3 linked regions of the Arabidopsis thaliana genome follow. The protein of the gene in region 1 interacts with the protein of each later gene in a pairwise test. Each region holds a gene or a part of one and is shown in the gene's direction. Other genes may lie near its edges.

The links.
Region 2: the proteins of AT3G51180 (region 1) and AT5G64430 interact in a two-hybrid assay, tested with the Arabidopsis thaliana proteins (one large-scale study listed by BioGRID).
Region 3: the proteins of AT3G51180 (region 1) and AT1G09660 interact in a two-hybrid assay, tested with the Arabidopsis thaliana proteins (one large-scale study listed by BioGRID).

Annotation. Positions count from the first base shown.
Region 1 is NC_003074.8:19,011,605-19,015,362, forward strand, and holds the start of AT3G51180 (Zinc finger C-x8-C-x5-C-x3-H type family protein), read left to right. Parts: upstream 1-1,784; 5' UTR 1,785-2,115; coding exon 2,116-2,181; intron 2,182-2,762; coding exon 2,763-2,945; intron 2,946-3,038; coding exon 3,039-3,163; intron 3,164-3,246; coding exon 3,247-3,758. Other genes in the region: AT3G51171 (F-box and associated interaction domains-containing protein), read left to right, coding at 1-22.
Region 2 is NC_003076.8:25,762,754-25,766,511, reverse strand, and holds the start of AT5G64430 (Octicosapeptide/Phox/Bem1p family protein), read left to right. Parts: upstream 1-2,091; 5' UTR 2,092-2,430; coding exon 2,431-3,758. Other genes in the region: FAAH (fatty acid amide hydrolase), read right to left, coding at 3-112, 205-283.
Region 3 is NC_003070.9:3,129,318-3,133,075, reverse strand, and holds the start of AT1G09660 (RNA-binding KH domain-containing protein), read left to right. Parts: upstream 1-1,981; 5' UTR 1,982-2,202; exon of another isoform or gene 2,203-2,276; 5' UTR 2,277-2,284; coding exon 2,285-2,415; intron 2,416-2,890; coding exon 2,891-2,976; intron 2,977-3,647; coding exon 3,648-3,758.

The DNA of each region.
Region 1 (3,758 bases):
TGTAAGTTTTCAGGGGAGATAGGTTATCCTTGTTAAAGCAATGTTATAAGACAAGGAAGGTTGAGATTTGGGTTACGAAGAATAAGATTGATACTAGTAACAACAATGGATCAGACGAAGTTGTGTGGATTCACTTGTTGACGTTGCTACCAAATAACTTGCCAAACTTATTTATCGAGTGTTATGGCATTAGTTACTTCATCTATGACAAGACCACCTTCATCATTTATTGTGCTGACGAGAACACTTATGCGGCTTGCATCTATATTGTCAGGGGAGATTTGCTCAAGAAGTTTGTAATTGACACCATGGTTTTCTGTTGTTATAGCTGTGTTTATGCTCCCAATTTTATCCCCCTTCCTTTAATGTAAAAGTTCTGAATATAATAATAAGATGCTTTATTTATTAAAGCTCTCAAATCAACATTTATTTTATTTCACTAGTAGTTTAAACCAATTGACAAAACCGGTTCAGTCAATGTTACAACTTACAATCCAAAACAACAAACCAAACCGGATAAACACCCAAAATGCCCAAAAAAATAACAGAACATGTGACTAAAGCTTTGACAAACGGATGAAATCTAGGCTCTACGACCACTACAATGATATAATATATGTACTGTGCACTGAAATAATACCCAGCAAAATAGTGATCAGTTCCAAAGTCTAAAAGAAATCAGTATGACTCATTACAGTTTTACCAATCCAACATTTGTCGCCATCATAATCAAAATCACACGATCGTAGTCGTAGAAGCCTTTGCGTTGATCGTTACTTAGAGTGATTACCATTATCGTCACATCGTCATGATATCTCCGTCTCCTACCAACCGGAATATTCGTCAACTCTTCCAATGCGAAGCCTAAATCAAAGTGCCAATTTTCGTCTCCTAACTTTCTTGAACCTTTCAAAAAGAAAAATGTCAATTTTATCTTTTCGTCTTCTAATTTTCTAGTCGGACTAGTTGTTGTTTTTCCAATTTAATGTCGGCTTTCAACTCAGGCGTAGCCGGTGTTTTGGTCGGATTAAAATATTCCAAACTTAGTTTTGTCTAAGTGCTGGATTTTTGTGTTTTCTCTTTCTACATGACTTAAAATTAAATCTTGTTTAGATTATGTATGATTTACTGTCGGCTTGGCTCTTCTAAAGGACTAATATCCTTGTAACTTACTACCGACTGGTATGAAGACTGGTATGAAGTGGACCTTTTAAGGTTTTGAGGTGGAGCTTTTTTTGAAGAATTTTTGAATTGAGATCTAAAGATTCGTTGGAGTCATGGCCAGAATTATAAGAACGTACAGCAAAATTTGGCAGGCCGGCGGCGGTAAACCTATAGAAGGAGCTAGCGATGATGGATCTAAAGTCCAGCGACAAAGCTGAACCATATCGTTAGATATGGCTGATAAAGATCGTGTCAATACTCATCCTTCTCACGTGTGGATACTTTTTCACAAGTGGCATTTTTAACTCTTATTTTTTTTAAAAAGTTGGATTTAGAGTAAGTGGGCTTAATTTCAATTTTAAGTTGTAAATGTAGGACTTTGTTTTATCTGTAATGCCAATTTGGTTTTCCATTTTAATAAAAAATAAATAGCCAAAAATAAGGAAAAAATCTTATTTAATTTTTTAAAATAAGTAGGAATCCAATTGAGTTAATAAATAAATATAAATTAGGAATCCAATTATAATTTGGAGTTAGCTGAGACCTGAGAATTACACGAAATTAAATAAATAAATAACTGCTTCCGTTATATATAAATACAGTCTCTAAAGGAACGTCCTAACAAAATCCACCGTGTACTAAAAAGAAAAAGAAAATAGAAGAGACAGTTGTTAGGGTTTTCTCATCAATCAATCAATCATCATCATCACCCAAATCCTTCCGCCGACGTCTCTTTCTTGTTTCCGTTTTCTCTCTCCGATCTCTGACTCATCCATCGTATTGACCAATTCCCTAATCAAAATCCTTCGAATCTCAATTTGCTTCGTTAAGAAATCTGTAGATCTAGCAGAAAAAATTCATATTTGATCTGAATCTGATAAAAAAACGATCACCGGTTGAATCAAAAAGAATCGAATTTTGTTTTCACTGGTTTGTTTCTTTGAGATTTATATGAATAATATGAAGAGATCGAAGAAACCCAGAGTTTCATGGCCACCAGGTCCTAAGCTTTGTCAGGTATAATTAATCCTTATATGTTCCATGTTTTCTTATCCACTTTCTAATCCCAAATTGATTGATCCATCTCACCAAATCTAAACTCTCGATTATAACAATTAACCTAATTTCTGGATCCTAAAATTTCGATTTTGAAGTTTTCCTTTAAACCCAACGAATTGATTGATACGATCTTGAATCGCTGAATTATTTAATTTCAATATCCAATCGAAAAATGGTGAAGAAACCAAGTCTTGTTTGTTGTTACTTTGACGGCTCTTTTGGTATGTAGAAGGCTTTGATTTTTCTATCTTTGAAGATAACGTTTTAGCTCATATAGTTTACATGAAATTGATTTGAATCAACAAAGATATATTCAAGGTTTTGGATTTGGAAATTTGAATCAACATACAGTTAGATTTAGATTGAAACAAGATATGATCAAGTTTTGAAGTTTGAATGCATCAATCCAATACTCTGCAACTACAAATTTACAATCTTTTTACAGATAGACTTGGGAAGCCTTATTGGTTTAGTTACATAGTTTTGATACACGAAAAAGTCAGCTTTGGTTAGCTTCTAACTATGCGGATTTTGAACAGGTTAAGGTTTTTCGAACAGAGGACAGTCCTGCCAATGTAGCCTCTCAGCCTCAACGTCATAGCTACCCATCTAGGAAACCTCGAGGGCCAGATCTTCCACCTGGTTTTGAAGGAAATCACTATGCAGTTAAGCCTAATGTTTCAAACATTCCTCGCATCAAATGGAAACGACCTCCTCCCAAGGTATATTTTTTATACTGTAAAGAATTGGTGAATCCCTTTTGAATCTTTTTTTATCATATCTGATATTAATATTATGTGTCTTGGACAATGCAGTTCTCTGTCAATGATACTTGGCTGGTTGGATGTGGTGGCGGGAGCTCAGAATGGCAAAATGAAAACTTGAGGATTTCAAAAGTGCTGGAAGCTATCTATCCTCATCGCTCTGCCATCCCTTCTCGGTATTTTACCTTCTTCTCTTAGGTTATTCAACATTGTGTTGGTGTGTTAGTTAGCCTGCTGATTGCATTCTGTTTTCATGTAGACCCTCTGTTTCACCGGCTGTGGAAGCTGAATGCTTTGATGACAGCAAAACTCCTGCCATTCGTCTCACTCCTATTGAAGACGAGAGTGAATCTTCTTCAGAGGAGTCATCCAACAGTAAGGTTGAATCAGGTGTTACCGCAAACAAGCAGGGTCAGTTGGAGACCAAACCTCTATGTTCAACCCAAGAACAGGTTTCTGGTCTTACTGGTCTTGCACCAGACTTGAGTCTGGCTGCTTCTGCAGCTCTGACTGCACTGATGAAAACCAAGGAACAAGGGAGTTTGGTCGATACTGAGCTACTTATCAAGTTCCTCAGCGACCCAAAATTAATCAAGAATCTTATCACTGACACATCAGGTAAATCCTCTGAAACTAAGAATCAGCCCATTGTCACTAACATCAACTCTGCTACTAGACCTGTTCCGCAGCCTGTCAGTGCTGTCACCGCCTCACCCATGGCTAGAAAGCCGCAGCCAGTGATAATACCTCAAGAACACAGTGTTGCAGTTT
Region 2 (3,758 bases), on another chromosome or scaffold:
ACCTTTGTCATGCCATTGTCTTTCTTCAAATAATCAACAATCAAAGAGCCTATAAGTGGTGCTTCAAGCAAATTAACGAACAACTTGAAGGAAAGGCCAGTCAAATGAGGAGCTGCAAATTACAGAAAACCATGTAAAAGGCACATTCTCATGTCTATGCAGAAAACCCACAGAATTAATGTGCATTTGTAAAACCAACCAGACCTTTCATGGTTTCAGCTTTATATTTGACAGTAGAAAGATCAACCTCACTTGCACGTTTCATGACCTGATACTTACCCATCTACAAACAAAACATCATTAAGTTTGGAATTGATATCATAGATCACACACGTCACTGTTCTATAAGTCAAACACTTGAGAAAATTGCCAAAACAAAACAAAACCGATGAATCTCTAGTATCTTTCACCTTATCATAAGAATCTGTTATCCAGAATCAGAACAAATTAAGTGAAATAAAAAACAAAAACTGGTAAGAACTATGAGAATCGGAGAATCCAAGTAATCAGATTCAAGGAAACCACGCCAAGGCAGAAATTTCAGAAACCAGAATCACAGGCGAAACGAACAATGGTTGTGGAAGATTCGGATTGCGAACCTGAAAGAAGAAACTTAAAAAGAGGAATCTGAGAAACGATGATCCGATCCGGCGAAGGATTACTAAATGAAGAAAGCCGTGCGGAGATGAGCGGTGAAGTTGTTGGGAACTTGAATGTTATATGTTAGCTTCAAATCTTAAGCTTCTTGTACTGATTTGTACATAATTCAAGTGTACATTGAACTCGTCTCATTTGTTGAAATGTTCCAACCATGTTCTCAAATTTATGAAACTACCCCTTTATTATGTAAATATATAATTTTGGCCCGTTAACTAATGTTTTTCATTATCACACCTAACAATTTCTTTATATTTACGATGAAGTAGTGAAAACACTTTCATTTGCATTCAGTTGGATTTTTTGGTTTCCATATGGAGCCATTTCATATGATACTTACTAATTCAAAGCTAGGAATACTTCATTTATTTGATTTGGTTTCATTTGAACATAATTGGATTTATGTTAGTACATAGTTTCATTTAAAATAATATTCGATTCCATTTTTCTTTTGTGCTTATTAGATTCGAAAAATTTGATTCGTTATAATATTCAAATATTACTACAAGAAAACTATCAATAATAGGACTAACTATATAAGAGGCTCTTAAGTAATCAAAAAGTATGGTCGACATTCGTATAATGCTAAATTCTAGTATATCTAGTGAAATCAAAAGTTTTGGCTAAGATGCATCTTTACCAAAATTCGGTTGATTGACTTGCTCTGCCAAGTACAAACAACCACGAGACACGACTTGATTTATGACTGATCGAGCAACATCGTACCGGGACGGCGGGCCGATTAGTCCATATATATATGGATTATTTAAGAGGATGAGAAAATAATGAACATTTCTAAGTTCTAACACAAAATAATATTGGAAGAAATACTAATCAATGCACATGTCTTCGACAAACAAGGAAAACAACAAAAATTGTTACGTGAATTTGACAATATAAATATTGTTCTTGTACGACCATGATTGCACCTTCGGCATGCTAGTGAAATACGTCTATTATAAGTTTGAATAATTACAACAATTTCACCGTTTATAATAAGGTGCAAGTTGGCAATAATCTAAGGTATATAATAATAGCAAACAATCGAGAAAGTGAGTATACACTCACCGGTGTCAAATTTAAATTATCTTATATTCTTGATGTTAATTTAACATAACAATTTTTTTTTGTTGACCCTTTTACAGTTTTCTTCTGCATGTTGACAGACTAAAAAACATCTATCTTCTAGAACTAACCCAAAGACTATTCGGATGTGTAATACAGTTGATGAATGATGATGATTCAAACATTCAAATATTTGTTATACACAAAAGAAATCCAATAACACAATCATAAAACATATCTAAGCCTGATCAGGCGAAAGATCGACGACAACGACTTTTGTTTTTCCCTTTTTCTTAACTATTTATTTATCACTTAACCTTAAAAATATTGCTTCACTAATGTTGATTTAACAAAATATTAAGAAAAAACATGTAAAAGGCTAAAAGCTGGCCTCTTTCAACGTCGAAGTATCAAAACACTAGTGTTGGGCCCATTCACAGTGTCCCCAAAAGTCATATTAATCCATGGAGAGATTCAGCTAACGTCACAGAACCGTCACATAATCTCATCACCGCCTTAAAACTCATAAAATCTGACAGGCCACGTGTAAATGAGCAATAAGTTCACGTACTCATTTTCCAACACCACCATCACCGATACATAATAAAAACCATTTCATCACAACAGTCTTCTTCATTTCTTTCTAATTTCTTCTCTTCATGAATTAAGCCAAACCAACAAAAAAAATCATTTAATTTTCGCGGAGAGATGGAGAAATTCTCGTACAACTCTTATCCAGATTCAACCGACTCGTCACCGAGATCTCGTGAGATCGAATTCGATAACCCGCCGCCTCCATGGGATGATCAGAACCAGAACCAGCAGCAACATAGCTACAAGGTGAAGTTTATGTGCAGCTATGGCGGCAAGATTCAGCCACGGCCTCACGATAATCAGCTCACTTACGTAAACGGAGAAACGAAGATTCTTTCCGTTGATCGCGGGATTAGATTCCCTGTTTTAGCTTCCAAACTCTCCACCGTATGCGGCGGCGGTGATGGCGGCGGAGGAGAAGTTACGTTTAAGTATCAGCTTCCGGGAGAAGACTTAGACGCTTTGATCTCGGTTACGAACGATGATGATCTGGAGCATATGATGCACGAGTACGATCGCTTGCTTCGTTTGTCGTCTAAGCCAGCGAGGATGCGTTTGTTTCTCTTCCCGGCTTCTTCTGGATTTGGTTCTCAAAGTTCGACTCAATCGGATCGAGATCGCTTCGTCGAGGCGTTGAACACTGTTCCTAGGCTATCTGAATCGGAGAAATCCGTAACTGCTCCTCCGAATAATGCGGATTTTTTGTTTGGATCGGAGAAAGTTGCAGCTCCGCCGCCGCCACCACCGGCTGAGGTGAAATTACCGGTTCCTGTGGCGTTAGAACCGCCTTTGTTTAACGATCCGCGTGTGATTCAACCGGATCACGTCGTAAATCCGATGGAAATTCAAAGACAAATGCAGGAATTTCAGAGGATGCATATTAGGGATCAAGAACAACAACAACAACAGGAAGCTGTATACAGAAGGAAGAGTAACGAAGACGGTTTAATAGAAACCGGAGGTGGATACTTCTCTCCACCGTACATACAAAATCCTGCGCCACCACCGCCACAGCAGACGATTCCTCAAACGAATCCGCAAGCTCCTCCGATGACGACTTTCTGGCAAGGAAACCACAATCCAGGAGTCGTATTTCCAACAACCACACATGGATTAGGATTACCAGAGCAACCAGTTTACATGATCCCATCTCCATCTCCATCTCCGGTGTACCACGCGCCACCACCACCGCAACCGCAAGGTGTCATCAGACCAATACTTACAGGACAAGTAAACCAAGGCGGCTACTATCCTCAGGTACAGAGAGTGGCTTCAGATACTTACAGAGAACCACACCAATCACCGTACAACGTGGCTCAGCCACTTCAGGCACCTATAGGAACAAAAGCAGCACAACAACAACAACCTCCTCCTCCTCAGCCTTTTACCTCTGGTCCTCCACCACCGCAATACACCGCAGTACCACCGCCACGACAAGTAGT
Region 3 (3,758 bases), on another chromosome or scaffold:
TTGTGAGCGTGAGCAATGAAGAGAAGTTGGTTAGACTTTGTTCCACTCTTATACAATTTTGTTTGGACAGAAGACAAGTTTTGTAATGTAATATGGAACAATGGTTACTAAGATGTTTAGCAAGAGCTTAATTTATAGTATATGATATTGGGATTTGGGAGGGTTTAGGTACATTGTTAATGTTAGGTTTATCGATATTACTGGAGGGAAGGCGTCGTTAGGAACTTTGTCATTAACTTTCTTGAGTTAACATGCGTAAATGCAGTGGCGGACCCAGAATTTGATTATTCCAAAAATTGGACAGAGGAGGAAGAAAAGTCACAATCCCAAACAGTTAATACAAGATCGTAGAAAAGCGTTTTTGGCGCACGTGCGCGGAGAGAGAAAGCAGAAGCAGACCTCACTTTTCTTTTTTTCTTGGTTTTTTCTTGTCTCTGGATCCTCATTGTTGTTCTCACCACCACCTACTAGCTACTACCCACATTTTTCCCCAATGTCGAACTTCTATCCGTTTTCTTCTTTGGTTTTAGGTCTTTCTTTTTGGTAGTTGTACTACAACATGTATACTTTTAATTTGCAGCAAACATGAAACTTCTCCTTTGTCAGCACTCAGCCTTACGGAACAACATGTACCCCTAAACAAAACTCTACATGACCTAGGGGATTTGAAACATCCCAAGAAATGGATTTTTTTTTTTTTTTTTTTTTTTGGGCTGTGATTGTTAATGAAAACCTTTTTATGTATACATTTGATAAAGTAAATACTACATATATTCTAGTAGAATAATACCATTTACCTAATATACTGAAATTTCTTGGGATGTTTCAAATCCCCTAGGTCATGTAGAATTTTGTTTAGGGTTACATGTTGTTCCGTAAGGCTGAGTGCTGACAAAGGAGAAGTTTCATGTTGGCTGCAAATTAAAAGTATACATGTGTAGAACAGCTAACAAACAGAAAGCATAGAAAGAAGGGAACCCTAGGATAAAGAATTAAAAAGGGGAACAAAGATTTATGCTGTTTCTTCTTTATTTCTCATTGGCAAAACGGCAGAATCTTCATTAAGTTGCGTTTTATTATTTTTTCCATTTCTTATAGTAGCCAACTTCCAACTACACCATTTAACCCGGCCGTTTTTTTTTGTTGCTAAGTAATAGGTAAATATCCTATTAATGAAAATTATGATTTACATGAACAATAGCTAAGATTTAGGATACAAACAAGGAAGACGATCAAGGATCTTGAAGATAGAAGTAGGCGCAAATGTGTTGTGAATTATGCAGCATCTTATTTCTTTGCTTCCAAGTTGTATATAAATCACGGCTTGAGTAACTAGCTTCCTTAGTGTATATGTGACTGCATCTATCATATACAGTATGTGTGTAAACTGCGTTTGGTGTAAAATGTAATTATAATTTATAGAAAATAAATTAAAGTAGTGGAACATGGAAATCACCGTTCAGATATTCTAACTGATTCACTATAGACGGAATTCTTGTTTTCGTCCATTGTTTTTACTTTTTAGAATTTTTAAGTAAAATAAATCATCCATTACATCACTGAGGTGACATCATCGCTCAGGGGACATCACTAACTACGTTCCCACTAAAAATATAGGCAAATGCAATCAAGTGAATGATGATGACCTTTCAAGAGTTCGTAGAGATAAATAAAATAATAAATATTTGGCATGTTGAGGATCAAATGAATTAGATGCATAAGAAAGGTACTAGGTAGACCAGGCCCGGCCCAATGTGTTTTGTTGTCTAAAGCAAAACAAAAAAAATTAAGCCCATTAAAGAATAGTTATATTGCCTCGGAAGGGCTCGAATCCATCATCTTCATTTTTTTAGTTTACACGGATTGGAAGTAGGCTACAATGTCCCTGAGGGAAGGTAGGCCCATTATTAGTGACCTGAAGCCCAATAATAATGAAAACGCAAAGAACCTTTTAAGAAGAAGATGACAGAATCTCTAGAGAATAAAAAACTAAACACAAAAATAGAAAATATCGAAAATGAGATGAGAGAGAGAGGAGGAGTCTCTCATCGTGAGTAGGGCTTTTGACTCCCTCCCTACTTTGCCTACTTCTTCTTCTTCCTCTGTGGCCACTCTACACAGTCCACACCTACTTCAAGACACCTTTCTCATCCTTGAGATCGGCGTCAGATCCTCCGCCGCTTCTCCTCTTCACTATCTCCGGTCACAACTTGTTTTTCTCTGTTTTTCTTTATCTCTACTTTATGCACAATCTGACTTTCTAAGTGGATTTACAGTGTTAAAGATGATGGAATCTGGCGCTGGTTTCGTGGCCATGGAAGAGAGGATCTCTCCTGGAAGTTTCTTCCAGTATCCTCTTTCTGGATTCCGTGCTTCTCCTAATCGATCCCCTTGTCCTCCCTCTGATCGTGAAAGGTTTCTATTTTCTCTCTTCTTTCTCAACCTTTTTGCTATTTGTGAATCTGTGTTAGCTTGATTGTTGTGGACCCGTTTCTTCTTCTGGACTTGTTGCTTTAGCACAACTTCAAGTGTGTCTCTTTGTGATTGGTGGGTATTGTTGCCTTTGATTGGATCAGTGTTTAAAAATGATTCTGTCAAGTTTGTATTTTCATGAACTGCTTACACAGATCCAAATTCTCGATCATACTCTCTCACCTCAACATGTCGCCTTTTTCACAATTAGCTCACTTATTATTGGATTCTATACAATGTACTCTTAAGGATTTTAACAAGATAGCTATATTTTATCAATGTTTTAGAAATGAACGTACTGATGTATTTTTAGAAGCTTAGTTTACATGTGACTGAGTGCTGATTCCAATGTCACCCACTCGATTCACACGCAACATCCACTGAAACTTAAGTTTTTTTTGTTCTTAACCTTGTGCAGGTACTTGACTGAATTATTGCAAGAGAGACAAAAGTTGGGTCCCTTTTTGCAAGTTATGCCAAATTGCTGCAGACTGCTTAATCATGGTGAGCTATCTTATTAAGCTATGTGATTTTGAATTTAGTATTTCCTTAGAGTGTGTGCACACGAACTTAAGAAATTTCCCACGTGAACAAAGCCTTAGTGCGCATCACCCTGGCTTTTTTCCAGTTAAAGGTTTACAGAAATTGGGTAAGGATAGTTGAGTAACAAAAATGTATCTACATGCAACTTTTTATTCTCTTTGTTATGGCCTTCTTAATATATATATAGCCAATCAAAGTCTATGTTACTTTTAGCATTTAGAAACAGTTTTTAATTGCAACTTATTGCTAAATGATCATCCTTGATGAGTTATGTTATGTGAAAATGAATTAAGTCTATGTGTTTGCAAATGATAATGATCGTTAAGCAAATGATCACCAACTAATTTATACTAGGAAGCCTATTTGTCCGTAAATATGCATATGGTGATTAGAAGCTTGTTTCCAGACTTGTTTACCTAGCTTTTAGTTGTCCATCATGCCCTTAAGGGATGTGTGAACCTTAAAAGACAAAGATGTGTTTGAAGTTTTCATCATTCTAACCTATTAGAACCCGAGCCTTTTGTTTCATTATTGGCATTAAAGATAAGAGACTGAAGATGCCCCTGATGTATAACTCTTACAGTTTCTTTTATACGTTTGCTTAACTGCCAACATTGCTGACGTCTGTGCAGAAATCAGGAGGGTCTCTAGTTTTCCTGATCTTGATAGATATGAGCATGGCAGTCCATTTAGATCGCTTGGTCAGCCGACAAATGGAAAGCTTGATTTAGAGGGATGGTCGA